2 linked regions of the Coturnix japonica genome follow. The protein of the gene in region 2 purifies or fractionates together with the protein of the main gene of each other region. This does not show direct contact. Links are inferred from orthologs where the notes say so. Each region holds a gene or a part of one and is shown on either strand. Other genes may lie near its edges. The genes, in order: CDK7 and ERCC3.

Region 1 (16,399 bases), on a different chromosome or scaffold from region 2:
ATATATACATACACACATATTTTTATATATGGTTTCCACAGACACTACAACAGCGTAGCGTAGTATGCATTGCGTAGTCTTCCACAGGAGACATCACTTTCATGGCAACCTACACGCGTTAGAAGACAGAATGCTAAAAGCAGGTAATAGGTGGGAAAACAACAGTGCCTCACCAGGCATCCGAGATCCACTGCACAATGGTGGGTGAGTGTCTGTAAAGGACAGCACGTGACTTAACATAAATGGAACATAAAGGGTCTGCAAAATTGGCACACAGGTGGTTTAGACTTCTACCTCAAAAGAACGAGACAGCAAACCAGAGAGAGGAACCATCTTGGGGTTTTTTTTTTTGTGTGTTTTATTTAAGAAAAATTAAAAACTTCTTTCCTATTAATAAAATATTACAATAGCATTTAACATACTACTATATTCTAAGAATAACCTTCGAGTGACTATTACAGCGTTTTTCAAGGCTGGGACTCAGGTCATTTGAGCTCTCATTTTCCTCCACCATCCACAGCAATCAAAAAATCAACTTTTTTGGTAATCCTGAAAAGTGTAAATCACATTGTTACCACAGTAAAGGTGCTGACAGCCCTCATCGAGGCTTTTGCACGCATTTAATACTATTGTTCAGATCCATCTACCCAGAGATAGTTAACGCTGTTCGCTGCAGCAGTTGTACATAACCATTTTCAGTAAATCTACAGGAGAGTGCTAGAATCCAGGCTGAGTTGCATCAGTAGGTATATTTCAAGTAAGACCCAAATTCCATAGTTATTAATTGCATTTGGGATACACTTGAGTGTTTATCTTTCTTGGAAAAGTTAGCCAGTTAAACCTACATTTGAGCCTAAGAAAGGCATTCTGTTCTCATACATCACCTGTACACTCAATAACCTTTTTCACATGCTGTCACTACCCAGCAGAACTGTCTGCAGGAGGAACAACAAATAATTCCCACAAACCTTAAGCAAACACCCAAATTACAGAATTACAGTCTAACTTTAGATATTAATAGGCTGACTTTTATTTTTTCAAGCCAGTGCAGAATGGCACAGGAAACCCGCCTAATCTCAGATCCATATTAAGTGAGGAAAGAGATGACTGCCATATCTTCTACATGCTCAATTTCATGAGCTTACAGCTCTGTAGAAATGCAAATTATCAGGACTGGAATTTGTGTCCTGACTAAGAAGTGCTCCATTTGACCATTTCCCAGAGTGGAAAAGATGGACAATCAGCAGACATCAGTGCCTCCAGTACGTCACTGATCACAACATTTAAGTTCGATGAGTGCTCCCCAAGCCTACAGTGTTTTTCCCTTGTGAAAAAGCAGCACTTCATGGGGATGGCTTCAGTGCAGTCTTAGCAGCCAGCCTCTGATGACAAGATTTTATAAAAGGGTACCCACCGCTTCCCAATTTAGGCTATTCAGTTTCTGGAGTGCCGTCTCAACAGAGCTGAGAAAGATGCTGTGCAAGACACAAGCATTACTTTGAAATTACTTTGAAACGACTTTTGCACATTTCCACCCTCAACAGCAATAAAGATGCTGTGCTTCTAATTCTATTTATAAAAAAGACTATGGAGCTGTTCTTCCAATATTCGCTTTAACTTCATCTTAACTTTAGATTACTGTGCCACATAAGGATGTCAGATGAAATCCAGGATAGTAGTTCTGCAAGCACTAACACTGGCTCTTCTCTCTTGCTACCTTGTTTGGGACTGCAAGATCTACCCTTTTGATACATCCCTTCTCTGTCAGCAACAGAACATAATTTTCTGAGGTGCTTCAACAAGCACTTGAAGCAAATGAAACATACTGACAGTAAAATATCTCAAAAAGTAATGCTGAATTCTTAAGTGCTTTATTTATTTTGAAACTCTGAAGTCCTAGCCTTGTCCAAAGTCTAAGACAGAAGTCTGATTTCCCCTTGTTGAAGAGCAGACTTTTGTGAAGACATTACAGCAATTAATGTTGTGGTTCTGATACGGCTCTGGAAACTCTGCTTATTGACAAATGCAAGATTTCAAACAGTTAAATAGCAAAACTCGAACAGTTCTTCATCTTTTCTGTTCTTTGGCTAATTGGTACATTCTAGGGACACGGACCTCAAAATGCTAATTGCAGACACATGGTGTTGCAAGAGATAAAGAGCTTCAACTAATGACTTTAATTAATTACCCATGGTACTTGACAAGTTCCCACATGGCAGCTGACCCATGGTACTGAGGTCAGCAAAGAGCATGCAAATAGTTAACAGATTAAAGATTCTAATTTCAAAGAAAAATTAAGCCAACAAACTAATGCATTTTACTTGTAATTTGACAGAGTTTAAGACACAGTGGGTTTAAGTGCTTAAACAGTAAGATGAACTGTAAAAATTTAGTTGTCCATCTGAGCTCACGAGGAAATGCATTTTCATGGAAGCATCTCCGTTCCAGCAAGATACCACACTCTTGTATTGAAACAGCCTCATCCTGGTAAAAACAAAACTGGTATTAACCTACTGTCTAACCATTAACCTAACCTAATTGCTATTATCTAGCAAATTCCTGCTGCCAAGATGACAAATTCCAAGCTTTAAAACTGTTTGCCTCTCTGCTAGAAGGGCTGACTAGTTTAGTGTCAGATACAGCTGTCAAGTCCACACAGCTTTTCTGGCTATGAAGGTATGAAGTATATGCTACTGTTTGAGGAAAACTGGAGGTTCCATATGGAAATACACGTTAGGGGATAGGCTTGCTTCTTAAAAGGATCACTGTAATGTATGGAGATCTTCCTTGCCCAGTGTGGTCATAACAGCTTACTTAGTCCAAGGGAGATAGCAGCAATCTCTCTAAATCTGATTTACATTCTCTAATCTATCACCTAAAAGAAATACCATATTTCTTTCTTAGTTCTCCCTTTAAAAAAAAAAAAAAGTTATATGAAGTTGATTAACTCACTAAGAATTTTCTTGTTTGCTTGAGAAACAAGAAGTCTGATAGCCTCTAACTTAGTAGATGATGCCACACCTCATTAAATTAATGGCATTAAGAGATTTCTTCTAATTAACAGATCACTACACATAGTAAAAGAGCCTTTCTGGTACCAATTCTGTTAGATCACTATTAAACCATCCTCACCTTCAAGTGTTTATCCTAAAACATAAATCCTAAAGGGCTCCAGATGGTCCTAGTGCCCAGGGATATTATCCATTCAAAGAGTTTTTACGTTCTGAAATACTGAAAGTACAGCTTTCCCTCTGAGTTCCCATTTTAAAACAGGTGAAACATTAATAATTTACCTTGATCCATTCCCTCTCCTCGTTTCCTTTTTAAATTCAAAAGTGCATGTTGCTGCTCCTTTACAGCTTCCACAGCACAGTTGGGTCTGGGTAGCAGATTTCCTGGAGTGGGTCCTGGGCGATTACTGAAATACTTCTGTTTCAGTGCCTTCATAATCACAGAAAACAAAAAAAAAACAAGAAAAAAAAAAGTGATTAGTATAAGCATCAGAACTGAGATCAATCTTACTCAAGTAAAATGGAAAATGAAGTACAGATCATGATGATGGCTAAAATCACCAGATGTACATTTTAAAAGAGAACCAGAAAAGTTTAAATTAAATGGAGATTGAATGAATTAAGGATGAAAATATTTTAAAAGCAGGGAATAAAACATTCTATGTTATGATTTATGTTGCAAGCTTTGTAACTGAATTTTGAATATTGAATATGATAGTCTGGCTTATATGCTTTTTAGTTGTCTACCTTGGCTACACAGTTGGGAATGGGGATTATCAGAGAGCATTATTCCAAAGTTCTCTGTATAAAACGTGGGAGATATGTTTACTGTATACAGTTAACAGACAGAACTATATGACATTTCATTTCAAACCTGGCTTCTTAGCTTCAAAACGCATTTATGTGATATTTAGAGTACATTCATGAACACTAGGACACAAACAAGTGTACTATACCTGAGTGGCTGTAATTCTAGAACAAGGATTAAATGTAAATAACCCTTGTAGAAGACTAAGTAAATCATCACCAGCTGCACTGAAGATATGTTGAAGAGGCGTTCCAGGGAAAGGCTTAAAAGTGATGTAATCTGGAAGATTTGCCATTCCCTACAAAGATAAGAAAGGGATATCTATTTTTCAAGATTGAAAGAGCTTAGCATCTCACAGAAACAGAACTTCATATCACAGAATCACAGAATTACCCGGGTTGGAAGGGACCTCAAGGATCATGTAGTTCCAACCCCCCTGCCTGGCAGGGCCACCAAACATACACATTTACTAGATCAGGTTGCCCAGGGCCCCATCCAACCTGGTCTTGAACACCTCCAAGGACGGGGCATCCACAACCTCACTGGGCAGCCTGTTCCAGGACCTAACCACCCTTCTAGTAAAGAACTTTCCCCTAACATCCAACCTAAATCTTCCCTCCTTCAACTTAAAACCATTTCCCCTAGTCCTGCTATTATCAGCCCTTTCGAAGAGTTTACTCCCCTCCTGGGAGTAAGTTCCCTTCAGGTATTGAAAGGCTGCAATGAGGTCACCCCGCAACCTTCTCTTCTCCAGGCTGAACAAACCCAACTCCCTCAGCCTGTCCTCATAGGGGAGGTGCTCCAGCCCCCTGATCATCTTCGTGTCCCTCCTCTGGACCCTTTCCAAAATCTCCTTATCTTTTTTGTACTGAGGGCTCCACACCTGGACACAGTACTCCAGATGGGGCCTCACAAGAGCAGAGTAGAGAGGGACGATCACCTCCCTATCCCTGCTGACCACCCCTCTCCTGATGGAGCCCAGGATCCCATTTGCTTTCCGGGCTGCCAGAGCGCACTGATGGCTCATGTTAAGTTTCTCATCTATCAGGACCCCTAGGTCTTTTTCAGCCGAGCTGCTCTCAAGGACAACTCCTCCCAGCCTGTACAGGTGCCTGGGGTTCTTCCGGCCCAAGTGCAAAACCTTACACTTTGCCTCATTAGGTTCACCTGAGCCCAGCTTTCCAGCCTGTCAAGGTCCCTCTGAATGGCATCTGTTCCCTCCACCGTATCGACTGCACCACTCAGCTTGGTGTCCTCAGCTGTATCCACAGCAGAAGCTAACCATTCTTCAGGACACCCTGTTAATATCTGGTCACAGAGCATAGGAATAACAGGTCACAGAAATTACTCTAAGAAAAGAACTGACACAGTATCCATTACCAAGTAATCTTTCATACTCTTGCTTCAGTAGTGAGTAGTACAACAGGAAACAAAGGAAGCATATAGGAACTTTACAGTGAACACAGACAAAGTAAAACTAGCAATTGGCAGAAGAGAGGAGATTCAAAGTGTGCATTTCCTCCTGGCAAGATACTGTCCTCTACCGAGTTTGTCATCCACCATTAGCATTTTGAGCTACTTTTTGAGACACATGTTCTGTTTGTGGACTACAGGGAAGGAAGGTAAAACCAGTTGAACAAAAGATGAACGGCATTTTTCCTCCCTTAAGTACAAAAAACCCAACCCCTTGTGTTCAAATTTCATCATAAAACCAAACCAGTTACAGACAATTACCTAGATGTCAGTATTTTAAAACTTTAAAATCAACATATTTCAGTAAATACATTCATTAAATTTATTCAAGCTAAACATAACATTAACGCTGTATGTGTGCAATCAGTTACAACTTTGACAGTAAGGATTTCAATACTTGAAAAATAGAGGTTTGGAAACAAATTTGGGAATGCATTATCTCTGTTGTGCTAATGAATTGCCTGTCTTCTTTTCTCACCTCCCAAGAACAAGGAAAAAATCACTGCAAAAATCTTTGCACCTTTCCTTTAGAATCTTAGCATAACAGAAATGCTAGGCTAGTATTGCTTTACACAAATTTTTTCATGTGGCTATAGATCAATTTGGTGACCACAGAGCTGAGAGAGCATCCGAACACCATTCATACAAAGGAGAACTGGCATACAGGAGGAACAGCTGTACAATATAATAACCACTGATCCCGCAGGGGTCGGTCTTGGGACTGGTGCTCTTCAACACTTTCATTAATGACACAGATGATGGAATCTCTAGCAAGTCTGCAGACAACACCAAGCTGAGTGGTGCAGTTGATACACTGGAGAGAAGGGAAGCCATCCAGAGGGACCTGGAAAGGCTGCAGAAGTGGGCCCATGAAAACCTAATGAGGTTCAATAAGGCCAAGTGCAGGGTGCTGCACTTGGGTTGGGGCAATCCCAGGTATTTATACAGACTCCTGAAAAAACTCCTTTAGAGCTGCCCCATGAAGAAGGACTTGGAGGCCCTGGTGGATGAGAAGCTGGACATTAGCCAGCAGTGTAAGCCTGCAGCCCAGAAGACCAACTGTGTTCTGGGGTGACCAGCAGGGAGAAGGAGGTGATTGTCCCCCTCTACTCAGCTCTTGTGAGGCCCCATCCAGAATTCTGTGTCCAGGCCTGAGGCCCACAGTACAGGAAGGATGTGGAGCTCATGGAGCGGGTCCAGAGGAGGGACACTAAGATAATCAGAGAGCTGGGGCATGTCTTCTATGAGGAAAGGTTGAGGGAACTGGGATTGTTTAGCCTGGAGAAGAGAAGGCTCCGGGGAGATCTCACTGTGGTCTTCCAGTAGTTGAAGTGTACATATAAACAGGAATGGCGGATAGTGATAGAACAAGGGGAAACGGTTTTAAACTAAGACAGGGGAGATTTAGGTTAGGCATTAGGAAGTTTTTAACCCAGAGGGTGGTGACACACTGGAACAGGTTACCCAAGGAGGTTGTGGATGCCCCATGCCTGCAAGCACTCAAGGCCAGGCTGGATGTGGCTCTGACAGCCTGATCTGGTGACTCTGGTGCCACTGAAAGCTAGTAGTGCCAATCATTAACAAAAAAAATAAATAAAAGGGTCCATGTGGGGGACAGACACTGATTGCTGTGTATTACCACAGAGTTACTCTGCGAAAACATTTCCCCTCAGAACTGTTATTCTGTCTTTTACTGGATCCCAAACCAAAAACCAGGACAGCCCAATTTAAGGTCCAGTAAATTGCTCCCAATTCTGAAAGCAATTAAAGCCTCCCAGGTTAAAATATGAATATATCAAGCATCTCAAGAACATTAAGCAATCAATATCAATTTCATACCAATAGTCATACGAAACTGTGGACCATGAAAGGAAATTAAGATGTCTCTTAACTGCTGCTTGATGCTAACAGTACTGTTGTAATGATTAGATTTGCTGAGGTAAAAATCTCAGTTGCTTATCCTCTTCCACTGTGAGAGAGGCAGCTGTATTTTAGATTTTACTCAAATATTCTGACGTATTCTTTAATTTAATTTCAAAAGCAAAAATAAATATTGCATCAAGTAAAATTGAAGTCAGGGTGTTAAACAGAAAGACTCACAGGCCACTGTTCTTCTGTTGGAGTGCCCAGTGTTTCAAAAATCCTTGTCAGCTGGTCAAGATCAGAGTCTCCAGGCAAAAAAGGAACCTGGAAGAAGGAAACAGCATTACTCATTTAAATAAATTCTACACTTAATTCTAGAAAGTAACTTAAGAGTCGCTCCTCATAATTGCATTATGTATTCAACTTGAATGAAAAATGTGACTATATCTCTGTCGTACCTCAATAAACCCCATTTTACCAGAGAGAATTATCTCCTCACCTCACAATCACACCTCATTAACACACCCTTGCTTTTTGGCAGTACATATATACTTGTGAACAACTGTTTTCAAGGATGAGGCACAGAAGGAGTAACATTTCATAACAATTTCTGATCAACTCCAAGGCAACTCACTAAGAATTGCAACCACTGCTATCAGACTAGGCTAATGCACAAAGGCAAAGACAAATGTTTCACTAGGTCAATGTTGTTGTTGCTCTTTTTAGGTTTTAATAAGGAATATTAAATAATAAAATAAGTTTTGTTACTCATATGCATTAACTATATATTTCATGAGGGCTGCTCCAAAAGTAATGCCTTTTATTTTGTTATGTTGGCCCACAAAGTCAGAGGCAGATGATGATGGTATGACAGTAGAGGCTGAACCTTCCCACCAGTATTTCATTACACGTTGCTGTGTGACAGACAGCAGCAGAGGGGTACTATGACAAAATGGCATCTGACACAAACACAGATGAAGCAAGAGCTGCAACACACTCCACATGGGAAAAAAAACAGCATGCACTGACATCCATCAACACTTGCCAAACATTTATGGAGACCAAACAGCAGATGCGAACACAGTGAGGAGGGTGGATGGTGCATCTCAGCAATGATGCCATCACAACAGCTGTGGAACAGTGATTACCTCCACAGGAACAGATTTCTATAAGCATGGCATGCAGGCTCATGTTCAACACTGGGAAAAAAGCACAGCTAATAGCGGTGACTACACTGGAAAACACTGTTTTATAGCTAAGATTTTGCTCTACCAAACAATTATTGTGCTATTTGTATTAGTTGTTGTTTCCATGGAAATAAACAGGAGTCATCACTTCTGTAGCATTCCACATATGCAGCCCAAGATTATCCCTGTTCACTCAACATGGCCCAGGCAAGCCAAAAGGTTGGACACCTGTGGTCTAATCTATGTTTATGCATGCACTACTGGTGCACCCCCCACCTTCATTTCCTACTTTCATGTTTTCAGAAGAGCTACGTAACAGACTGCTTACTCCTATAAAGCCTATTTATGGATGATTACATCTGTGTATCTTATGTAGGAGTGATATTATGTAATCTTGACCATCTTCAGCTTCACTCCAGCCTGTGAACTAGACACATTTTACAACAACAACAGAAAATTTTCAGCTCATTACAAATAAATCCACAGTTGATGTACTGGTGGTAATTATTCCCAATTATTGGGAAACAATTTATGAAAAATAAGAATGTACATGCACACCTACTCTGCCAGATTTTCTAGAAATATCATAAATGAAAACTGATGAATGGCTGCGTGAAAGGCAAACACCAAGAGGACTGGAAGAGTAACTCTTTAATCACCTTCCCCAAGGCAGAGCTGTGACACTGTGTTGTACTTTTTCGCCTACCTGTTCTTTAAAGTTTCCATTAATTGTAATGATTTTGGAATCTCAGCTTATGTGAAAAATTTTGTTTCCTTACAGGTAGCAAACTTCTGGGAGGTGTTCCCTCCCTGCTCCCTTTCATTACCTCCAAGAAAGTAGCTTAACTTTTTATTGGTGACAGTACTGCAGGGCAGAAGAAACCTACAACTAAGACGCACTGAAGAAAAAATAAAAATTCTTACATTTGAAGACTTACCCTGAGAAGCAACTCAGCTAGAATACAACCAACAGCCCACATATCGACACCAACTCCATACATTCTAGATCCAAAGAGCAGTTCTGGAGATCGGTACCACCTGAACAGAAAAAATATTTTAGGAAAACATCCTGGTATCACTTGATGTCAAGTGCTGCATGCTGCAGCAGTGCAGTAATTACAAAAAAAAAAAATTAAGTGTATTTTTATTATTATTTATCTTTAATAAATGTTACTTTAAGACACAATTCCTTTCAGCTTTCAAAAACATTACTAGCAACAGACTTATAGATTAATTTTGTGCAAAATACATCCTGGCAGCAATTATTTGAAGCTGTCGGCAAAACATACACTGCATTTCAAACAACAGTTTCACTGATGCCTTTTAATTGAATGAAGATGTTAAATAGTTCCACCGTATAGTTTCAGCACTACAGTAGACAAAGGAAACCTTATCTACTCTGTCTCTCTGAAAGCTAGATTTATAGGTAAATACATGTTAATTTCATGTGCTTCAAAACCATATCATTTCACAGAACAACCATCAGGGACATAAATTCCAACCATTCTTAGAGAGACTATATTAAAAAGCACTTTATTATGCTTTCTGTTATGAAACTTTTTGCCACTATAATCATAGCACTTGAGCTAGAAATCAAACTTTAAACATGTTGTTTTAACATGGCGTATTCCACAAGGTAACATGTAATAGTTACCATCAATCTAAGAAATGTCTTACCTTGTTACTACTTGGTGTGTGTAAACTCTGTTTGGGCTTCCAAAAGACTTTGCCAAGCCAAAGTCAGCTAATTTCAAAACACCATTTTCATCTAACAACAAATTATTTGGTTTAAGATCCTGTCAGGGCAGAAAGCAAAGAAGGAATCCTGTCATTGTTAATAAAAACAGACATACAGCGAACATTTCAGCAAGAGTACAGTAACAGTATTCTAAAACCTACTCTTCTGAGTATATTTTGATTTTTTATGCTGTGATGAAGAAAACAAACAAGACATCATTTCCACATAAACGAAAATAAAAACTAATCATACATCTCAATTTGAATATTAAGCTATTTAATTTCCAGAGTTCAAAAACACAAATTTATGGTAGGTGTTTGCTTTGCTGCAGGAACATTAGTTCTGTCTTACTGCACTGTTAAAAAAAAAGAATAATATAATCCCTAATTTTAATGACAGCTGGAGATGTCATGGGATTGGTATAGTTCAATACAGCAACAGTGTTGTGGGTTGGCCACAGCCAGCAGGCACGTAACCATTGCTTGCACTGCCAACTCCTCACACCCAGGTGGAAGACAAAATTTACTTATATCCCAGCATTGTTAATTATCATTATTATTATTTTACACTGTTGTACCACTGGCAGCATTTTTCGGGGCCACCTGGGTCAGCTGCCCCACGTGCTGCATCCCTTCCCAATTTCTGGCCCACTCTAAGCAGATTTTGTTGGGTTAGAGGCAGAGTGGAAAAAGGCTTGACAATGCGCAAGCAGAGTTCAACAGATTGAAAAATGCCATTGTTTTAAGCTACAAATTCAAAACAGAGCATCATGCAAACTCCTGTGTAGAAAGTTAACTTCATCTAAGCCCGACTAGATCACAATTCTAACCAAAAGTCTCACTTGAGACTGTGAACTGAATCCTTCCGTGTGGAAAGAAAATGAATATTCTCACTGATACTTGCTGAATGTTTATGGAGGCCAAACACTGGATGTGAACACAGTGAAGAGAAGGGTGGTGTGTTTCACCAGTAGAGACAGTGGGTGATGTCTGCTGGAGCAGGTTTTTATGAATGTGGTATGTAGGCTCTTGCTCATTGCTGATGAAAACGGTGCTGACACTGTTTTGTAGCTAAGAGTTTGTCCTGCCATATAGAGCTATTGTGCTTTTTGTATTGTAGTTTCCATGGCAATTAATAGAAAGCACTACTTATGGAATGATTTACACCTATAAGCATCTACACAATAGATGTCAGTAATTCTTAACATTTCTAGTGTTGCAATTGCCACTACTCAACTGCTAGAGCAACCCTATGCATTCTAAACCAATGAAAGCCAGTTTTCAGACTAATTCAATCAAAAGTGATATTTGTTATAGGAATAAGGGCATTTAGAGCATGCTTACCCTGTGCAGAATCCACTGTTGATGTAAATACTCTAACCCTTGAAGTGTCATCAGCATATACGCTTTGATGTGAGACTGTGTTAATACAATACTAGTATCCTTGATAATAACCTGCAAGTGTTAGATTGATATGGGTAGACTGGTAAGCACAAAAACTTATAACACAAAATTATTCAACTCAAAAGTCAGTTTATACTTTAGGATAAAGCTGGAATTTGTAGCTACATATACATGTATAATGGGTTAATTTCTTCCAGAGCACAGATAATGTGAGCATGTACAGATTTGACACGACAGTCACCCAAAACGTCTTCTCAGCAGTGCTCCAAAATGAAGAATCTGCACTAAAGTATTCAATAAAAAGGTACTGGCAACAGACAAGCTAATGAAACATCCTTAAGATTCAGGCCTGCAAGCACACGCCACTGTCAAATTTAAAAGAAGGGTTCAGGAGTATGTGACTTCTAGTCAGATAATTACTCGGCATACTTGAATAATATCACACTTACTTGAGCATGTTTTACGTTACTGTGCTTAGCAATTGCATTCTGAGATCCTGGCTTATGATCAGTGGTTCTATGCTCTGACTGAAGCCCTAGAAAACTAATATAGTAAACATAATCCGTTTCTTGATAAAGGTGCTGACAGAAAGTACTTTAAAGGCATTTTCAATTGAAAATACTGTCTCACTATTCCAACTCTTTTAAAGGTATGATCTTAAATTACATAATGAAAGAATGAGACAACTTTCTAAAAAAGAAATAAAAAACACACAGTAACAGTAAGGCTATGAAAATATATTTTTCAAAATGCATTTTCAAAATGTATTTGAAGATATTGAAATTTATTGAAATTATCTTAATTTGACTTACCTCAAGGTCCGTTTCCATAAAATCAAATACTAAGCTAATATTAGATTTGTGTCCAAATGCATCTAACAGCTGTAAAACAAAATGTGCTATGATGAATGACACTCTCATAATTCCCGTTTCCTAAAATTCCATTCTACTTTAGTTTGCATGTGCATTTTCAATTTACTGGCAGAGACAAACAGGCACAGGGCTACTCACTGCCTAGACCTCATCATCAAGAGGAACCCTAATCCACCTGCTCACACCTCACACAGGTGGAATCCCTGCCACCCTCCCCAGGCAGCAGCAGGCTCAGGCACTCCCTGCAGCCAGAGAACAGCTACATTTCTGGGCAGGCCCTCTGTCTGGGTTGCCAAAATCTTTCTGGAATAAACCTGCTTTCTGATAGAGAACATGTTTAGGCCTGCAGTCCCAGAGACTTTCCAAGAGGAAAGCTAGTCTCCTGAGCACAGACTGACAACATTTACATTCATCACCACTTGATCCACATCCACAGCACTGTATGGGCAGTGTGGGCTGTGCTCACTCACTGAACCTCCCCATTCTCAGTGGGCAGCAACAATGGTTACTCACCTGGTAGCTCACCCTAGGATACTTTAAGCTTGTTATCAGGTGCAAACAATAAGGACTAGAGTTTAAACTGTGCCGCTAATGTGCCAGCTCCACCCTTGCTGACTCAGGAGCCAACCCACAAGCTGGCAGCTCCCCAGTACAAGCGCAGCCTTTTTTACTTCAGATCCCTTGTTCCAGATCCCTTTCCCAGTGCAGTTTTACCTTCTCTGAAGCCAGTCTCTGCAGCAAAAATTCACTGTACTTACACCAATAACATTCGGGTGGCTTAGTTCCTGTAACAATTTTATTTCTCTCAGCGCTGTTCTGTTGATTCCTATATTGAAAAAAATAATTAAACAGAATATAATTAATAATTTCAAGTTAAACTCCAGCAAAGAAACCTCTTATTCTGTTGTTCATTGATTACTTAATATTACAGTCCTTTTCCTCAGCACTCATGTATTTGTTAAAGCCAAGCAGACTGTCACAAATACATAGACTGCTGCAGGCAAGGTATGAATAACAACTAGAAGATATAGATTATGAAGGAAAATACACATCCCTTTGGCTTACTGGCAAGCAAACACTACTGCATTATGTTGTGCAAGATGTTTTGCCTACGCATGAGCTGAAAAACAGTGTTATTTCCATGGTGGTTTCATTCAACATATAAGATTCCAGCGAAGATTTAGATGCAAAGATCTTGATGGCTTAGTTGATACTCTGCCTATTTTAATTCCTTCTTTAGAAAAAAAAAAGAGACAACGTCCGCTTTCATGTGGACATATTTTTTATATTCAGAAAAAAAAGTATGCAAGCCAATATCATTATTCCATGCTATACTTGTGATTGGGTTCCACCTAAACAGTCATATACGCACAGTTAAACATACAGTATGAGAATGCTGTATTTCGGATGTTATTTTTTCTGTCCCTCTAGGTTGGGAAGGAATCAATCACCCAATCAGCAGAAGCAAAACAAACAAAGACAGCTTATACAGCATGAACTTGTTTTAACACTTACCATCTTTAGCTTCTGATCGATGTCCCAGTTTAATCTGAAAATAAGTGCCTCATATTATATAAGGTCAAGTCACAATCCCCAACAGTTTAGTTGTTTAATTAAAAAAAAAAAGATTAAAATAAGTTCATTAAAATACATTAACAATTCTGAATATCTTACAAGGGCTGCTCTGCAAGTAATGCCTCCTATGTTAGTGGTCTATGATGTCAGAGGCGGATGCTAGCATGGCAGTAAGAGGCTGAACCTTCCCATTACATGGTGTTGTTATCTGACAAAAGGGCAGCGGGGGGTACTCTGACAAAACGACATCTGACATGGATGCACAGAGGAAGCAAAAGTGTGTTGCTGAATTTCTCCATGCAGAAAAATGGCACCTAATAACATTCATAGAAGCTTGCTGAACATTTATGGAGATCAAACAGTAAGTGTGAGCAAAGTGAGGGAGCAGGTGATGAATTTCAGCTCAGGTGACAGCAACAGCAAGTCATCCCCACTCATACAGATTTATGGCAACACAGCACGCAGGCTTTAGCTCATTGCTAGTGAAAATGTCTAATTAACGGTGGTGTCTATGCTGAAAAATAGTTCTTGGTAACTTAGAGTGTGCTCTATCTGCTATAGTTTCCACAGAAGTAAAATGGAGGCACTGTTTTCAGTCCAGCACAATTCCACCTCTCCCAGCGTAGCACAGGACATTAAGGCTGGATACCCATGGACTACATGATCTTCTTTTCCAATGTACCAATCCTGTGAATTCTCACACACTACACACGACAGCAGTTCAACAGAAGCACCGTGCAGGACAAGGCTCCCAGTGACACCACAGCGGGGTGTTCCAACACTCACCTTTTTGATAGCAACGATCTGACCCGTGTTCTTGTCCTTTGCCTTATACACAGTAGCAAACTAAAGGGAGAGAGAGAAAGAGACGCGTGACCACGGCGGCAGGGCAGCCCACAGCCCAGAGCCAGAGTCACTACGGTGGGTGAGCGGGAGGGCGATCGGCCCGGCCAGCCACGCTCCCTCCCGCACCCAGCCGCCCCTCAGAGGGCCCCGGCGGCCACACCGCACCCACCGGCCGCTCACCTGTCCCTCCCCTAAGAAGTCTAGTTTCTCATAGCGCTTAGCACGAGCCCGCGCATCCATGGCTGCCAGCTGGGAAAAGCAGCACAGCCCTAAGGCCGGAGAACGAGGCACAACGGAAGAGCAGCACGGCCCTTTATCGGCGCCCGCCTCCAGACCCGCCTACCTGCACCATGAGCGCGCAGCCTGATGCCGTCAGCTCGGAGGCGGGTACTAGGAGGGCTGCGGCCCGGCACACGCTGTGCGATGCTGCTCGTGCCCTGATGGCTGTGTGTGATTAGCTCCGGAGCGGGCAGCTGCCCCACAGAGCTCATTAAGGAGGTTAAACCATGTCCTGGCTGAGTCTGTGATCATGAGGAACGGGGGCCTGACAAAAAGCAGAGTGGGGATCCTGAACTTCAGGAGAATTAACTTATTTAAAAGCAGCTTATTATAAACAGGACATCGTAGGACTTTTTATATAGTCTGATGATGACAGGACACAGAGAAATGGTTCTAAACTAAAAGAGGCGATATTCAGATCAGATGGTAGGGGAAAACTATCAACTCGTGTTGGGGGTTGGAAGGAGTCAAAGAACTGGAAGAGTTTGTCTGAAGAAGGTGTAAATGCCCCCATCCCTGGATGTATTCAAGGCCAGACTAGCTGGAGCCATGGGCAGCCTAATCTAATGGGTGTCAGCCCTGCCCTCAGCATGGGGCTGGAAATAGATGGTTTTTAAGGTTCCATCCAAATCAAGCCATTCTGGAGTCTCTGAGTGTGTCTATCTTGCCCATGAAATCAGCCATGAAAAGACCTGTTAACAAGGAAAATAAAGCAACTCAATTTGTTCTACTGCCAAATTCATAGAATGGCTAGTTAGAAAAATACTCTAATGATGTAGCCATCATTTGCTATTAGTCATCAACAGAAAATCTCTCATCACCAATTAATAGTGCTGTGTCAACCTTTACACCTTCACATAGGGTTTTTATTAAAGCTATCAGTATACCATTATTTATAATATTAAGGAAAAGCTTTTATGATGAACACAATACTTCTTTCTTCAACAGTGGTGATATCTGTTGGTGGCAAATATCTTCCGTACTTATTCTGGACCTCCACGCTGTAAAGCAAAAAATAGACAGAGTTAACTATTTTCCTCTAAAAGAAAGGGAAATTGATATCCAGTCTTCTTTTGCAGTTATAGATTAATAAACAAGTCCTAGATTTAACTTCATTTTTACGCTTTGATTTTTAATCTGTAATGGAACATGCTACATGTCAGAAAAATCATTGCCTGTCATTAATAGCTTATTGTGCCTGATGGAATAATATAAACAATATAAAAACCTCTGCAACCTATATTTGCAGCTGCTCCCTATCCTCTCAGTTGGAAGAAACATGACACTTAGTGACTCTGGAAAGATGAGACAAACAGCCGTAGTAGTAGCTTTGGATTTTTTTTT
Region 2 (16,399 bases):
TTCCAGTGTTCAAATAGCTAATGCATCTAAAGGCATCTATGGAAGCAAAAGGGAGGCATTTAACTTGGCCCAAGTAACACCTTCAAGTAACACGATAAAGAGAGGTCAGAAATGTCAAAAGGATGAATAGCTGAAGCACCGAAATGTCAGAAATTTCAGCAAAAAATTTCAGTGCAAATTGAAGCGTCTTTTCACTGACAAAGCCATGCCATTAGTCACGGTTTGTGCTTCTTCTGACCGCTCTTAAATGCATATTTTGAAAGACCTTTTCAAGTTGTGAAATCATTTATTTGGAATTCTATATGCTTTCCAAATCCCCATTATTTTTTCCTGAGAAAAGGACAAATTTGAACTTAACAAGCATGACAATGGAGGTATTGTAGGTAACTTACTCATGAAGCAGCTTTAGTTTAAGAGACAAATGTAAACTACTTCTCTGTCTTTGGTTTCATCTACCATACGGTAACTTAAAATCTTAATCAAATTTGGATAAAAGAACACACAGATCCAAACAATCAAACCTGTCCCAGCATCTGACAGCGCTGTGTATTATTTACTATTTAACGCTTCAATAAAAAAAACATAAATCGACTGCAATAAATAAATGATTCAGCTCTACATGTAGATTTCTTGTAGCAGGTATAGATCCTTATCCTGTCTAACGGTGTACCTGAGAAGTAGTTGCCTTCAATTCCCATTTTTAAGTTCTTCAACAGGTTGTAAAAAGGTACCACTAGAAACTGTGAGCATCATGAGGGCACAGGAAACCACAGAGGAATAGAAACAGCATCTATTGCAGTACTTTGCAGAGCTGAAATGCTGTTGGAAACTAGAACACCAATGTCACTGTGTCCTTATAGTCCTGTAAGTCATTCTAATGAACAGCAGTACTCTTCAAGCATTAATCCTTTCACAGACACTTGCTGACTTGCTGTGGGGATGAACACAAACATGAATTTCAGTACTGTAGACTGCCAGAACCACAAAGAGAATAACAATTCCATGAAGAAGTTAGAAAGTGCAAGTTTTCTCAGTAAGGAATTCAGCCGAGCTAAGGAGGTGACCAGGAATAGAGTATCCTGAATTATGTCCAAAGAAATTGCACTTCTATTCACGACTTCCAAGAAGCAACACACTTACCCTAAAGTTCACCTGCTTCTGCCACCGCTCAGTCTGAAAACACTTTTGCTATACAAATTCATGTTATTTTTGCCTCTCACTTAACGAGAATTCAGGATATCATCAAGCTGTATCATTTGCAGGTGTCAACGGTTTATCAGGATCCAGAACTGCATTGCACTTTGTTGGCTGCTGCTAAACAATGCAGTGTTACACCAGAATACTCCTACAGGGATACAGGCAGCATCTCGGAAAGGTACGTACTCAGAAGTGTAATGGCAGAAAAAAAGGGTTTCCTTCACATACTTCCTCAGGACAAGCTCAGAGATCTCAGACATTTTGTTTCTGCAGTTTGTGTAACAAGCAATCTCACAATCCATCTGCACAATAAAAGCACTGGCCAGCAAGCATCTGATAAAGAACGTGAGCGCCTGACTGCAACTTTAGAGAGCTAGGGCCCAGATTCTTGGGATTCAGGCCACAAGGCAGTGAGAGCCCACCACACACTGTGCAGTTACTGTGACACATCGTGCTTGCAGCCTCCCATACTGCTTCAAATAGATACCTGTGCGACAAAACTCAGTGCTGAGTTCCGTAGCTGAACAAGATAGCTTCATTTCCTACAAAATGGCACTGCAGACTAATTCTGGATCAGCATGTTGTGCCCGTTGCATTTGGAGTCATGCTTTAGAGAATTGTTAATGCATGCCGTTGGTGAGGAACAAGTAGTTTTTCTTAGCAACAGATTCCTGTCTGGAAGGCAGAATTGAGTGAGTATATTACAGCGTAGATACAAGACAGCAACTGTTCTATACTAACAGCACATCTGTTTGCCACCTGCAGCCACAATCATCTGTATGGAATAACTACTGCAGTAATTCTATCAAATTACTGATCTAAACTGAACACCAACACGCCATTACTGGAACATGGATTCTTACCTCTTACAATTATTTTTCTTTGCATAATGTTGGAAGTACTGCATCCCACATAGACCATTATTTAGAGTAAGATCACTAGACATCACAGCCAAGATTTGCAGAATACCGCATCACTGTTCTAACCATTAACTGCTACAATATTAAATTGAAGGGTTTTGTTTGTTTTTCATGAGTGCTCTTTACCAGAAGTTTCTCCTACCTCTCCACACATTTTCTAGAACGTTACTGTATTTACTTCCTTCATGCATCTGCCTCCTAGTCACTGGCAAGTCAAAACACTCTTTGATCCAACAGTAACTTCTACAGTGACACTGCACTGTTTAGCAGTTATGGTTTTATTATGTAACTAATAAACAGAACATAAAGAACAAGGGAAACAGCTTTTATTTCAGAAACATCTCAACAGTAGCAACAAAAATAAGGGAAATGGAGCACAGTTTATTTGTACTTACGAACGCTTTCCTCTAGTTTACTTTCTCTTCATCCTGAAACTTTGAAATATTTCAGCCAATTTGGTAGGATTTTAAAACAAGTTAAGTCATGGTTATCAACTAGCCCCAGTTGAAAAACATTATGTAAAGTGCTCCTAACAAGACTCAATAACTTTTGTTTAAGCAATTTAAACATCAGTGTTTTGCTAAGTAGACAGTAATCAGATAAATATTTCTAACATCAGTACAAAGCTCATATACAAAACCTTTCCAGAATTCACCTGAAAAAGTGTCTTCAGCCAATAAAAATAAGATCTGTTCACGCTGAAAACCAGACAGGTACAGCCAGGATCCAGTCACTGGATAATATATATCTCCATGATGAGATTTAGTTCTTCTTTCACATTCAATCACAAGAACATAAATGTTGCTAAACAAAAACGTGGCTATACGGATGCACACAAAGATGCCTTTTAGAGGACCTGCCATATTTTTAGTTGTGGAAAGATGTACATAGATGGACAGTTCTTATAGAACGCACACATGAAGGACATCACTTCCTGAAACGCTTAAATAGCGGGTGGATGTGCTTATTTGAAGACGCCTTACTCCGAGATGAGTGATATTCCATATAAACTGCATCATCTGCTCCTGACATCGAGCTCATTGTGCCTGTACGACGTGACATCTGTAAATATGGAGAGAAAAAACATATGCTTACAGTGTATGATTAGACAGCTCAGCTCTCACCTACAGACCTTCAGACCAAAAAGCCTTCAAAGCTGGTATTTATTTTCCTTAAAGGAGAATTTCTACTAAGAAAGTAACTGCCTATCAATGTAAAGTGGCCTTTTAGTTTCTGCCCTTTGGGTATGTGGAAATCAGTGAATTAATTAGTCAAGTGCTAACACAACTTAAAAAAAGATACGTTTTCCAGTATTTTACAAAGACACTACGGCATCAGTGGTGGCCTCACATTCAGAATTCAAGTGGAATGGTTCTATTCTACTGCAGTTACGGTCTTTCTTTTCAAAGTATTTTTCATTACCTGAACTGACTTTGAACCATATTCTCCAGCAACAACCTCCTCCTCAGCATCTAGGTCAGATGCCTGTAGTACTTTCTGAAGAAGTTGCTGCTGTTCTTCTTTGGTTGAAAATGAAAGTTCTTCTTCTTCCATGCCTGCAAGCTTTGTTATTACCTAAGAAACAGAGCACAGTAAAAGGCAGGGTTTTTGAGCTGTTGTTACTTATGGTGCACGTGCAAATGTATCCTCCACCCCACAATCTGCTGTTACATTCTGTCTGGAAATGCAGTATCTCTAGACAAAGAACGCACGCCAAACACTGTCATTCCATACCAGCTTGACCAGGAACCTTACTGGAAGGCTGACTTTACGCTTTAACTTCAGGTTTTGTTCAGTGTAAGAACTAGTCCTTTATATAGTATAAAGTATAATCATGCAAAAGTACTTTGTATTTCATAAAAATAATCAATTAGCTTTGCAGACACCAAGAATTTTAACATACACATTTAGGAATATTCACAATTAATTGTTAAGAGACTGCACAACAACCTGCAACAAATGGTCAGCAGCATCACTGTTGTCAGTGGCAATTTCTAAATTGAAAAAAATGTATTTCTCTAAGAAATATGCAGTTTCAAGAATCTATTCAGAGAAGCAACTTGTCCTATTACATGAACAAATGAATTCTATGATTCCTCTTGTTGCTTATGAAGTACATGTGCTATGATCACCTCAAAAACGAAATGGAACCCAGGAAGAACTGCATTAGCATGTAGTTGTTCGCAGTTGTTGCAAAACAGTGCCAGTGTATTTCATAAAACAGAAAGAATTTCCACTGCATCGCAATTTTTTTAAGCTGTTGAACAGATGCCAAGTTTAAAGTCATCAGATTCTTTGACACAATAAGTTCTTCTCCAGTTGGTTTAAAATTCAATATATCCTGCATTCAATCTCAAAAAACCAATACAGTGCAGTAACTAAACTTTGGTTAGCAAACCAAACAATGCCTAAATAACTGAGGCTCCAAGCAGCAAGTAGTACCGACAAGGCTGTATAAAAGAAACAAAGACAAAACATGTGATGTAGCAACCAATTATCCTAATTCCCTTTTGCTGAAAGGCAGAGAAATGAGCGACTGATAGATGAAAAGAAGGAAGTCCTAGAAGAAAAATGCAAACTTTTACCTTTTTAAGAGAGTACCAATTTTTTAGTAGTATTAGGCATCAGGAATAAAAATTCTAAAGGAAAAGATAACAGCACTGAAATAATTGCCTAGAGATGAAGTAGAGTCACAAAGGCAAACATCTGCCGGGAATGACATACACAGTTGATTCTGGCTTGTAATGAAGAAACATTAGATGGTTTCTTCAAGTTTCTTCCAACCCTATTATTGTTCAATGCCAGCTATGACTAAAGCTTAAAGTTCAGCAAACAGAAGAAAACAGACAATCTAACATTTTGTTACTAATCTTCAAACAAAGAACGTTCCAGTACTGGGCAGCTAAAAATTCTGCCCCAGACACTCAGCTGCCATTTGCACTACTTTTATTCCCTTGAAGTCCAAACTCCTAGGACTAAGTCTTCCTTGCAAAATAAAACTCTTCTATTTTAACCTCTTACTTAGTTCTACAATCCGAGACTTACACTCAAACAAAAGCATAAGGATTTCTCTTTCATGGCTATAGCCACATAGACTCATCTGTTGTAATCACCTGCAGCTGACTGATCTACAGTTTTGTCAAGGTACATTCACTACAAAGCAAAATGAGGCTTTTACTTGCAAAGCCAATGACATGTCTGTTCTGATGCAAAGACCTCTTCAACTGGGCCACTGATAACAGAGCAGTTTAGTTCAGAGTACCTGCAGTTCATACAGGTTTTATCTCAGAGATGCCTCAAAATGTACGTATGCCTCTAATGATCTTCAACATCTACGTTCAAGTGCAGTCTAGTACAGGCTGCTTGCTCTTTCCCCTTGTGCAATTTGTGGTGTGACGCATGGCCATCTGGATCATCGTTTGTCTTTCACGTCACTGTCACCACTGCTGAAACACACCACCCACCACCTCACTGTGCTCACATCCACTGTTTGGTCTCCATAAGTGCTCAGCAAGCTTCAGTGAACGTCAGTGGGTGCCATTTTTTCTGCATGGAGGAATTCAATTCCACACCTTTGCTTTGTATGCACTTCCATGTCAAATACCATTTTGTCAGACTGCCCCTCTGCTGCCATCTGTCGCACAGCAACAACATGCAATGTTGTTAAACAATACTGGTGGGAAGATTCAGCCTTTACTGCCACACCACCAACACCCACCTCTGATGTTGTGGGCCAACATGATAAAATAGGAGGCATTACTTTTGGATCTGCACTCATAGAATACTCACTTTCCTAAAAGTTGCATTAAACTACTTGTATCTACCCTCACAGTAATACAGTTAACAGAATAATGCTGGAAAAATTTTTGCCTCCAAGCAAAACCTTCATCGATACATTTCACAACTGTAATTCTTAAGTATCTCACATAGCCATAAAATGAAAGAATTAAAGTTATATCCATGGGCCACAGTTTCATCATGAGAAGGGACAAATTACCTTGAAGCTATAGCCTTGATCCACGAGAAACCGTTGTCGCTTTGTTGAATATGCCATTTCCTGCGTGTCTTGGGATACGAGAGAATAAAAAAAGGCATTGTATTCCTCTGCAACCATGCCTAGGAGACAAAGCCACCACACAGTTAGTTCCATTTACATCACCACAACAAAGAAAAGAGGACTAAGTTGTAAAAATAGGTGTTCAAATAAGAATTATCTCCACAAAGTCAATCTGTAAAGTGTATCTTAAATACAATCTGCATCCAAACCTTACGTAAACACAGTGACAAAGCACAGCACATTGAAATTCCTACTCTTGTTCATAATAACTTGAGCATAGGAGATGGAAAAGGAAATTGAGACTAACCCAGTCATCTGGCACCCTGAGAAGAACCTGCTACTTAACCAGGCAAAACAAATTACAAGAAAAAATCATGTACGTAACAGTTTGCACACAAATGGTAAGAAGTCAAGGACAAAGATGGTAATAGATGTCAAAAAAATCAAACAGAAATAACCCAAAGTTAGTAATCTTTCTGCATTAAAACGAGGATAAAAGGATAAACCAGCCTGTGCATTTAATTTTCTTTAACAACAAAAAACAACAAGGAAATAAACCAATCAAACAAATAGGCCCACCAACCTTATAGTTATTTGATCTACTCTCGAATAGCACTGTGTTCTCTTGCAAAACCCAAGGTCTCACTAACTGTTCATTCACTAACACAGGCTTTGTAGGCATTTTCAAACAAAACTTCAGCCACAAGAAGTATAAACTGCACAGAAAATAAGCTTTGCTGTTTAAAACGGCCTTTGCTGAACTACATCAAGACAGAACCATAGAGTGTGCTTTGGTAGGAAGAAAATTACAGATAACAGCAGCAATTCTCCTCTGTATGAGCACAATAGAGAGAGACTTTCCATCACATGAAAACAGGTGGGAGAAAGGGAACCCCAAATTCTGCTTTCATCAGTCATTTTCCCAACAGCCAAATGCAGAACTGAAGCACTGTAAATTTATTCTCCACCTGACAGTTATCAATAATTTCCTCTGAAATATGACCACTTCCTAGGGAATACTCGTTCTATCTAAACTAAGTGCCAACAGGCTGCAACATAAACCGATTTATATGCTTTATTCTAACATGGTTTATACAAATTCACAAGTTTAGAGGAAAAAAATAAAAGGAACAGCAAATGCTTCTACTAATGCTATGCTGATTTGATACAAGCTGATCGTAAGTTCTTAAAATAGAAAGGGGCGAAAAATGCTACTTTGGCATAGTAAACCACTGTAACAGGAGGGGAAATAAAATGCAAGGAAGTATTTAAGAAAGAATTCAGTTCTGGTTAAAAAAAAGTGGAGAAAGGAAATAAGAGATGCTGCAAGTGAAAGATAAAATGGCATCCATATTACAACAGAAAAGGAAACCCAACAACTACCTTCTTACTCATGATACTGAAGTTTATTCAGTCTATGTTTCAGTATCCTAAACAGTTGAGTAATTATCTGAATGCCGTACTGTATTCCAAAGAGCAGAGCCCAACAACTACCTCACCTTTTTTGGCTCTCAGTACTCGCCCCAGTCTTTGAGCCTCCTGTCTTCGAGATCCGCCGTGGGATGAAATCTGGATCAGAACATTGGCTTCAGGTAGATCAAAGGATGTGTCACCCACCTGCAAAACAGAAGCGGTGTCTGAGCAGCATCTTATTTCCATGCATCACCAACAACAGCTTTGTACAAAGGACACCTTTATTAGTTGCAATAATAGAATCACAGTATTATCAAGGTTGGAAAAGACCTAGAAGATCATCTAGTCCAAATAAATAAAACGTCAAATGCCCAATGTGTGTGTATAGCATGTTCTTAGATAAGGTTCACTCTGAAGATGAGTACAATAACACACCGCATCCTCACCTTTGAAATGAAAATGGTGTTGATTTTTGGATTGTGCTTGAAGTTTTGTAGAATTTGCATTCTTTCTCCTTGTGCGGTAGGACCATATATGTATGGTCTGGAAAAAACAGAACACATGCAAATTAAACCTATTTACAGTGTCTCATTTATTAACAGGTACTAAGATATCATGGCAGGGAGCTCATTACGTGGTGATTTAAACATATTAATAGCTCGAATGGAAAAAACAGCATGAGCTACGTGACTCTGGATGGCAGACTCAGGACAGAGTAAAAACTGGCTTAATAAATTTGAGTTCTGAGGCCTCAAAAGTTAAAGTCAAAATAATTCCTGTCACGTGCATGTTCCGTTCCCTGCTAGTACCAAGGGAACGGGATGGGGTAGAGTAGGAGCTGGTGCAGCAGCAGTCACCAGGCAATGCCAGTTTCCCTGCACTGGTGAGCCCACCAGCCCCACATGTTTGAACCAGGCAGTGGAACCAACGACCAGCACAGCCAGGCAGACACAACCTGGGCTACTACTGCAGCATCCAACAACCAATAATTCCTGCCACACCCAAACTAGCAGTTCCCTTTTTATGCCCAAAGCCAACTTTGAGCATGTCCATGGCAAACTACGGTTAGAGAGCTTTTCTGTTATGATGTTCTCTTTCATCTAGCACTGCAACTCCTCTTTCTATCTCTTACAGCTGTATAAACTGGAGATCCATACAAATCACGTGGGAAGGAGAACCGAGTCAAGAATGTGAAAGGCAAGCACCTAATATTTCTTTAGACAGTTCTCCTGCTGTACTTCTGCAGCATTTCCCATACTTACAAACCGTTAGGTTACTTTGCGAGCACCCTTTCAGGCGTGTGCCTTTATTAAAGGCTCTTGCTCTGCGGAGCACTGCACACTGCGAGCAACATTCCAGAGGCATCATTACAGCTAATCTCTGTCCAGACAGATTTAAAACATGATGAAAGAGACCACGGGTGTTGGAATTCATCCAGAACTACCAGCTCTGCTGTGAGATGCACACTAAGCCACAACAACGTGGCCATTAAACTAGAGTGAAAAGCAATCACTAATTTCGGAAAGCGCAGAAAGATTTGTTAGCAGTTGTGCTGAGTACTGTCAAAATTCAATAGATGTGAAATCATACAGTCAAAATGCCCCGCAGCTTCCAGTAATCAACACATCATTTGAGCTTGTCGCAGAAAGCACAAGGCCAGCTCCTATGCTTATTTTCCCCAAGGAGCTGCTGTATGACTTGATCCTCACAAACATTCTCCCTGGTCATCCCTTCCCAAGCCACTCAAACACATTGAGGTTTAACCCCTCAGTCAACTCTAGTCACAATAATTGTATAGACATTTAGGGCAGACGATCCTGAAAGATCCCCAGTGCACATCTGAAAAGATTCCTGACAGAGAGACAGGAGAAGCTACAGTCCATTATAGAAATAGCTCTGAAAAGATTTCTAAAGGCTCCCTAGTTTTGCCAAGTGGCTTTCAGTAATAAATCAATAAATGGAGAAAGTCAGATGAAAACCCCTCTGAGCCAAGTGCTAAACAGAGATTCTTTTCAAACAGTTCTACAGTGGAATTAATGTTCCAGTGCCTATAAAATCCATTCAAAGAGTAGTTTCCTGAGCTCCTCTCATGTGAGAATTGTAGTTGAAGTATTACAACTAATGTCTAGAGGTTACTAAGATCTGTAAGATCACAAGTTGATTTTCCAGGAAGGAGGAAAGCAACAGCATCATCGTTAGCACTGAACACTTACTTCCCAAGTCTGATGGCGTACTCCTTCAGTGCAAACACATTGTCAGCAAAAACAATGATTTTATCATTCCGTCTCTCGTGAAACTTAATCAGGAACTGGCAAGCTCGAAACTTATTTGGGTTCATGGTGTACAGCAGTATCCGCTTCTTTGTTTTGATGGCTACGTATTCTCTGTAAAATTCAGGTGACATTGGGCACCAAACCTAGAATTAGACAATTTACACAGAGTAAATCCCAGTTATCCACTTAATTCCACTGGAAATTAAATCTATATTAAAAAATTAAAGCTATAAGCATGTTAAATATACACCAGTAGTACTGAAAAGCAGAACATCACCTCAGCACATTGGACTTTAGCAATGTAGCCACTGTTCTGCAGCTCCATCCAGTTGGCCTCATAGAGCTTTGGTCCAATCAGGAAGTTCAGATCAACAATTTTATCATCTTCTCTGACCAGGGTGGCAGTCAGTCCCAGCTTACAATGAGCTTGTACAATAGTGAGCACACGTCTGAACATTTTTGCTGAGAAACACAAGACACACTTTCTGTTTACTTTCCCGAACGGGTTTAGAATACAAGCACTGCAATCTTACAAGTTAAAAAAATCAATCATTAACTCCTAAACACAAAGCAAGAATGGTCTTAGGAATTATCACCCCATTTTACATACACTTCTAACAGTATTCTGTGTCACGGCAAAACTTCACATTGATGTCAGCTTTAGTTTGCACCTTTAATGTACTCTAAAAAACCCTTTTGCATTTGTATTACTTCCTGCTTCCCAAGAAGAAAAGTAATAGAGAGAGACTTATCTTAGCCATGTTGTATTTCATCAAAAGATGCTAACACAAGAACTCTTGGCTGACTTTGCCACATTCAGGACTAATATTAATTTCTAACATTTATCTTTTGTATTGTTTCAAATCCTGTTACCTTAATTTTTATGAAATGAATAAAAGTGAAAGAGCTGCACCAGCAACGTGCTGCTTGGTTCATCAAAGTCTACCCCAGAAATCCATCATTTCCAGTAGAGACCAAATTATATTCAAGTTAAAACATGACAGCAGCAAAGAAGAGCTGGGTGGTACACACTGCCAGGATAACTGCACAGACACTCTAATAGCACATCACTGCTTCCAATAGTCTGCAACTACAACAGCTATTTCTGGACAGTTACTACTACTGTTATTCAAATTTAATGGAATAGAAATAGACAGTAACACCTAAGCCTACAGTGCAATTGCATCTCAAAACCAAAGATGGCATATTAACTCCTGTACGTACATACAGTACATACAGCATGAGGGTCTGCACACCATTTACTTACCAGGAATAGTGTGCACTTCATCGAGTATCATAAGGCCCCACTCTCGACTTTTAAGCCACTCCATTACTCTCTCTGCTTCCCAGGATCTTTTAGTCGTGTGTCCCAACATGGAATACGTGCTGATAGCAATAGAGCAGTCAATGGGCTTATCTTTGGCATCAGAGGTGAACCGACAGATCTGACTGTCATCAATGGTGGACCACATCTTGAACTGTGCTTTCCACTGCTCTACAGACACTGCAGAGTTACCAAGGACCAGACACCTCTTGCGGACAGTGCACGCTGCTGTCACTCCAACTAGAGACTTGCCAGCACCTGTGGAAGGAGCAATATTCATTATGGGTATCATTGGAATAGAAAGAAAAAGAGTGAAGGACAACAGTTGTGTGAGGGAATATGAAATCACACTGGATTGCCCACCACGTGCTGTTGTCTTAAGAAAATCATCACAAACGCTGCTTTTGCCAGTTTGAAGCAATCAGACTGTTTTCTTCATTTCAAATATGGGATAAATTCCAGGTGGCTACAGAACGCTTCTACTAGAGGCCATCCCCCATACAGCCCCTGCAAGCAGTGTACGTTATACCACGTAGCAAGTCCTTATGTCTTCCCATTCCTGCTTCAAATTTCCTCCATCATCCCTTACACACTCTTTGAGGCCTTCCTCGTATCTCCTGCACTGCCACAAGCAGTCTCCCATTCTCTCCCTCCTTAAATGCTTCCCATGGGTTGTCTCAACCTTCTTGCTTGCACCCCCAGTTCCTCCACCTCCCCGTTTTCACCCAAGGATGAAATGATTCCAGCGCCAGCAGTTCTACATCTCACTGGAAGATCAGCAGAGCTGACTAGGAGGGCACAAAGAAAAACGTTAATGGTGATCTATCACAGCTATTAAGGAACTCTTCAGCCACTAGAGAAACAAAACACCCTCACCGCTCTCATCACCCACTTGCTAAAAGCCATCAGGATTTGGCATACTTGTACCCAGATCAGTCCCTATTACAGTTCGAAGCCCAAGCAGCTGTCAGATTTAAAAGTTACATTATTGCAGGCAAGTAAAGAACAAAATCTCTAAGGAAGAAAACCCTTAAAAAAAATAATCAATGCAGTAATTTACCACATGGCAAGACAATAACACCAGATCTGGCTCGTCCATTTCCAAACATCTTCCTCAGGCTTTTCTCTTGATAGGGTCTGAGGACAGCTGTAGGTTTCAGATCTATATTAATATCAGGATTCACAGAATCATTTCTGAAATCATATTCTGCCAGCAAGGGGTACTCCAAATGGATACAACGCTTCTGAAGTTCTTCAATCATCTCCTGAGGAGGAGACAAAGCTTCAGCTGCTAAATTCTCCACATCTGAATTATTACATCATTTAACAATTACTGATTACGCAGTGCTACATGAAGTCACGTTTAATTTCACGCTCATTAAGTCTGCATGAGTTGAAGTTGGTTTCAATAACTTTGTGACGACCCACCTGCTCCAACATTTGAAACAACAGCCCGTACTACAGAGAGCTATTTTGACAGATGGAAGTGTGAGACACATTCATCTGAAATGTGTTTCTCATCTGGCAGTGACTGAACTACACTCTGAAGCCCTGCAACAAAAAAAAGCTCAATAACAAACACAATAAGTCCCGTGTGCTGCATGGAAAGCCCTGCCAAAGCAGCACACCTGTAATAGGGAAGAACTTCATACCCTGACAGTGCAGTTACTCCACAATGACAGGTTGATTCAGTCACCAGAAGTTGTTTCCAGTTCTCAAGTACTTCTTTGGTTATGATAAAAGTTCTCCTTTCATTACTTCTGTCTTCCCCAGAAAAGCATCATTAGAATCACCATGCAGCAACAAGACAGGCCTTACAAAATTCCTCTGAGGGCCAAGTCAGGACTGTGCTCTGACCTCCGGCTTCTCAAGCTGGGAAAACAGAGCCACCAAGAGCTTCCTCTGTAAGTATCAATTGTGAGGAAGAAAAGCTCTGAAACTAACAGCAGATTTACTCTCCACTGAATCCTCATCAGCCCTGCACAAAGCAGCATCAAGCCGAGCACAAACAGAACCTCCCTGAGCTTCTGGAACCTCTCTAACTTGTGAATGACTGCACTCTGTGGGCAGAGAAAAGAACGTTCTGCAATCTGCTCACTCTGTACCGGGAAGGAATATCCCAAGACTTTGGAAGGCAAAAGGAAAGAAACATTATTGGCTTCCAGTGACCTCTTACGTTAAACAAGGAACCACTAGATATTATCTCTTACACCTATTAGAGTCCAGGGCACATCCCCTAAAGCTACACACGCTAAGAAACAAAGGTGTTCATGCCTGCTTGACTTCAAAAGACACTGTCTGTGTTTCTTCCTCCTCCTCCTCATCTTTGTCCATCTGCTCATAAAACTCATATAAATCAGCTGGGACATCCGGCTTGTTTTGAACATCTGCTTCTTGTGACGTGGATGGACCAAAGCCACTTTCACTGGACTTGGAAATCTGAAAAAGACAGAAAAGACCAAAAGATTCGCTAGAGATGCTCCCCAGGACACTCATTGAAGTGGGGTTCATTAACAGGGCTGACAGGAATGAAAACAACTGCTGACATAACTAACGCACAATAATGATTCCAAGCTACCGAGCAGCTTATCTCATATGAATTCCATCCTTTTAAGACACGCCGCACGTACCGCTGATTTACTTGTGAATGTCTCTGTAATGAGCTCCGTTTCTTCACCTTCGGCATTTCTCAGGCGACAGTCTTTAATAACGTGGTCTTGCAGAAGCTGCTGGATGACATCAGGATGGGTACTTTCCACAAAATACCTACAAGAAAAGGACAAAAACTCCACATCTCTACGAACTAATTGATACAATAACTTACAGAAAAAAGCAGTACGTGCTTAAATCTACAGCCCAGAAGCACTCAAATGTAACAATCTTCCCTCCTTCAACTTAGAACCTTTCCCCCTTGTCCTTCCACTATCTACCCATGCAAAAAGTTGATTTATCTTCTGCTTATAAACTCCTTTTAAACACTGGAAGGCTGTAATGAGCTCTCCCCGCAGCCTTCTCTCCTCCTGACTAAAAAAGCCCAGCTCCTTCAGCCTGTCTTTGGAAGAGAGGTGCTCCAGGCTCCCCAGGGAGGTGCTTGAATCGCCATCCCTGGTTGTGTTTAAGAGCCGTCTAGATGTGGTACTTAGGGATATGATTTAGTGTAGGGTTTTTAGAGTTAGGGTACTGGTTAGGCTGCAGTTGGACTTGATGATCTTCAAGGTCTTTTCCAACCTAGGTAATTCTATGATGGATATCTTTGTTGCCCTGCTCTGGACCCTCTTCAAAAGCTTGATGTCATCCCTGTGTTGGGACTCCAGACCTGGATGTTATGCTTCAGATGGAGCCTTACAAGGACAATCGGCCCCCTCACCCCGCTGGTCACCCTTGATCCATGCAGCCCTTTCTCTTGCAGCCCTGGATATCACTGTCCTTCCAGGCAGCAAACACACGCTGCTGGCTCACGTTATGTTTTTCATCTGCCAGGACCCTGACGTTCTTCTCAGCAGGGCTACTCTCAAGGGTTCTTGGCAGATCTCTTCATTCACACCAACTATGCCAAAAGCAGCTTTTACCTGTTGCGTTTCAGCACCAGCTTCACCTTCCCATAGCTGACCGTACAGAGCTGCAAAAAGACAGCAGCAGTCATTAGGAATAGAACACACCAACATTTATGGAGCTACATACAGCAGAGAAAGGGAAAACGTAAGATAAAAGTCTCTGCTCTCTTATAACAGAATACAGTAAGGTGGTAAAACATTGAGCAAAAGAAAATGTATATAAAACAGCAGTAATGCAGATAGAGCAGAGCGTCAGATGGTGTTACATCAATGCAGACTGACCTTGATGAACTGGATGATCCCCTCTGGCACGCCGGTCTTGCTGAGTTTCTGCAGGTACTCGGTGATGTCGCTGGTCTGCAGGCCCACACTGACGGCAGCGTACAGGGAGTATGCGGTCAGCTTGTACTCGTGGATGTGGGTCGGTCTGCACACGGGCTCAGCAATGGCAACTAGAAAATCCTGGGCGTATTTGTAAACAGGAGAAAAGGCTTCCAGGAAGATATGGCCGTCAGGAGCCTACAGCGACACAACGAGACGCCAGATGAGGATTCTCCTACAAGGTTGTGCTGGGGGCTCCCGTGTTTAGGTGGGGACGTATCACTGTGTTGCGTTCCGCCCCCGCCCCGCACGTACCACCCAGAGCGGCCGCGAGGCGCTGTCAGCCTTGAGCGGCATCTGCAGCCGATAGTCCTTAGCGCCGTACTCGTCCAGCTTAGCGCCGCTGTCCTCCACCTGCTTCCCCGCCGCCGAGGGCACGGCCTCCTGCGAGTCCTTCCCGGGAGCCTCATCCTCCTCCTCCTCGTCGTCCTCGTGGTGCCGCTTCTTGCCCTTCTTCTTGTCTATAGCACACCGCGCCGTTACACGCCCGCTCTCCGCCCGCCGCCCCCCTCCAACCCCTCTCCTCCCGGCCCCGCTTACCCCGCTCCTTCCTGCCCATGGCGGCCGACGGAAACCTCGGCGTCACATCCGCACTAAGGCGGGGAGAGAATAAGGCGGGGAGTGGTAATAAAGACAGAAGGCGGAGCGTGTTGTCCCTACAGCGTGTTTAATTGATCGCTACGTACAACTCGTGTCCGGTTCGGAAATACAAATACATCTTCGAATGGTTTAAAAACGAAAAACTTAAAAAAATATTCTGAACATCAGCCAGCTGAAAATATATTTATCGTCTAAATCATCTCTCAGAGCTTCATAGAGTTCATTACCAGAACGAAACTGCGCGCCCTTAGAAAACAAGGCCGTCGACATGTAGAAATGAAACTGTGGAGTAAGATCAAGATACAGACATAGGGATACAGACATACATAGGGATACATACACACACACAGTTACAGGGCAGGGTTCTGACCCTTATAAGACCAGCTGCCCACCCCAGGCACACACATCCCTCCTTTAAGCTCCTGGTTTGACACCCAATTGCACCAGCAACACCATTATTAACAGCAACACCTCCCAACCCCACACACCCAGCAGTAGTACATTGCACACACACACACACACGGTTCACACACACCCATCGCCAACCGCTCAGTGTAGTAAATCAGTACAAATTAAATAGCTCCAAAAATGTGCAAAAAAGTCAACGCTGATAGAAAAAAACACCTTGGTGTTACATACGTTTTACAAACTGTGCCCGGCATTCAACTGAGTAAAAACAT

The links.
Region 1: the proteins of ERCC3 (region 2) and CDK7 purify together in Homo sapiens (affinity purification with mass spectrometry; 15 studies listed by BioGRID and IntAct, counting the BioPlex papers as one, with this or other methods). This does not show direct contact. The link is inferred for Coturnix japonica from reciprocal best matches to the Homo sapiens genes ERCC3 and CDK7.

What each region holds. Positions count from the first base shown.
Region 1 is NC_029547.1:13,164,875-13,181,273, forward strand, and holds CDK7 (cyclin-dependent kinase 7), read right to left. Parts: upstream 15,114-16,399; 5' UTR 15,017-15,113; coding exon 14,957-15,016; intron 14,777-14,956; coding exon 14,717-14,776; intron 13,905-14,716; coding exon 13,871-13,904; intron 13,182-13,870; coding exon 13,114-13,181; intron 12,365-13,113; coding exon 12,296-12,364; intron 11,535-12,295; coding exon 11,424-11,534; intron 10,139-11,423; coding exon 10,020-10,138; intron 9,381-10,019; coding exon 9,281-9,380; intron 7,480-9,280; coding exon 7,393-7,479; intron 4,118-7,392; coding exon 3,968-4,117; intron 3,442-3,967; coding exon 3,294-3,441; intron 2,485-3,293; coding exon of another isoform or gene 2,480-2,484; exon of another isoform or gene 1,853-2,479; intron 1,476-1,852; coding exon 1,435-1,475; 3' UTR 550-1,434; coding exon of another isoform or gene 524-549; 3' UTR 330-523; downstream 1-329. Other genes in the region: MRPS36 (28S ribosomal protein S36, mitochondrial), read right to left, coding at 16,039-16,056. UniProt on the Homo sapiens protein: Serine/threonine kinase involved in cell cycle control and in RNA polymerase II-mediated RNA transcription. Cyclin-dependent kinases (CDKs) are activated by the binding to a cyclin and mediate the progression through the cell cycle.
Region 2 is NC_029522.1:23,158,590-23,174,988, forward strand, and holds ERCC3 (general transcription and DNA repair factor IIH helicase subunit XPB), read right to left. Parts: upstream 15,754-16,399; 5' UTR 15,679-15,753; coding exon 15,660-15,678; intron 15,581-15,659; coding exon 15,375-15,580; intron 15,258-15,374; coding exon 15,021-15,257; intron 14,804-15,020; coding exon 14,754-14,803; intron 13,951-14,753; coding exon 13,815-13,950; intron 13,624-13,814; coding exon 13,459-13,623; intron 12,450-13,458; coding exon 12,245-12,449; intron 11,443-12,244; coding exon 11,128-11,442; intron 10,780-11,127; exon of another isoform or gene 10,323-10,779; coding exon 10,138-10,322; exon of another isoform or gene 10,004-10,137; coding exon 9,801-10,003; exon of another isoform or gene 8,722-9,800; intron 8,131-8,721; coding exon 8,034-8,130; intron 7,792-8,033; coding exon 7,674-7,791; intron 6,234-7,673; coding exon 6,115-6,233; intron 3,693-6,114; coding exon 3,540-3,692; intron 3,180-3,539; coding exon 3,045-3,179; 3' UTR 2,427-3,044; downstream 1-2,426. UniProt on the Homo sapiens protein: ATP-dependent 3'-5' DNA helicase/translocase. Binds dsDNA rather than ssDNA, unzipping it in a translocase rather than classical helicase activity. Component of the general transcription and DNA repair factor IIH (TFIIH) core complex.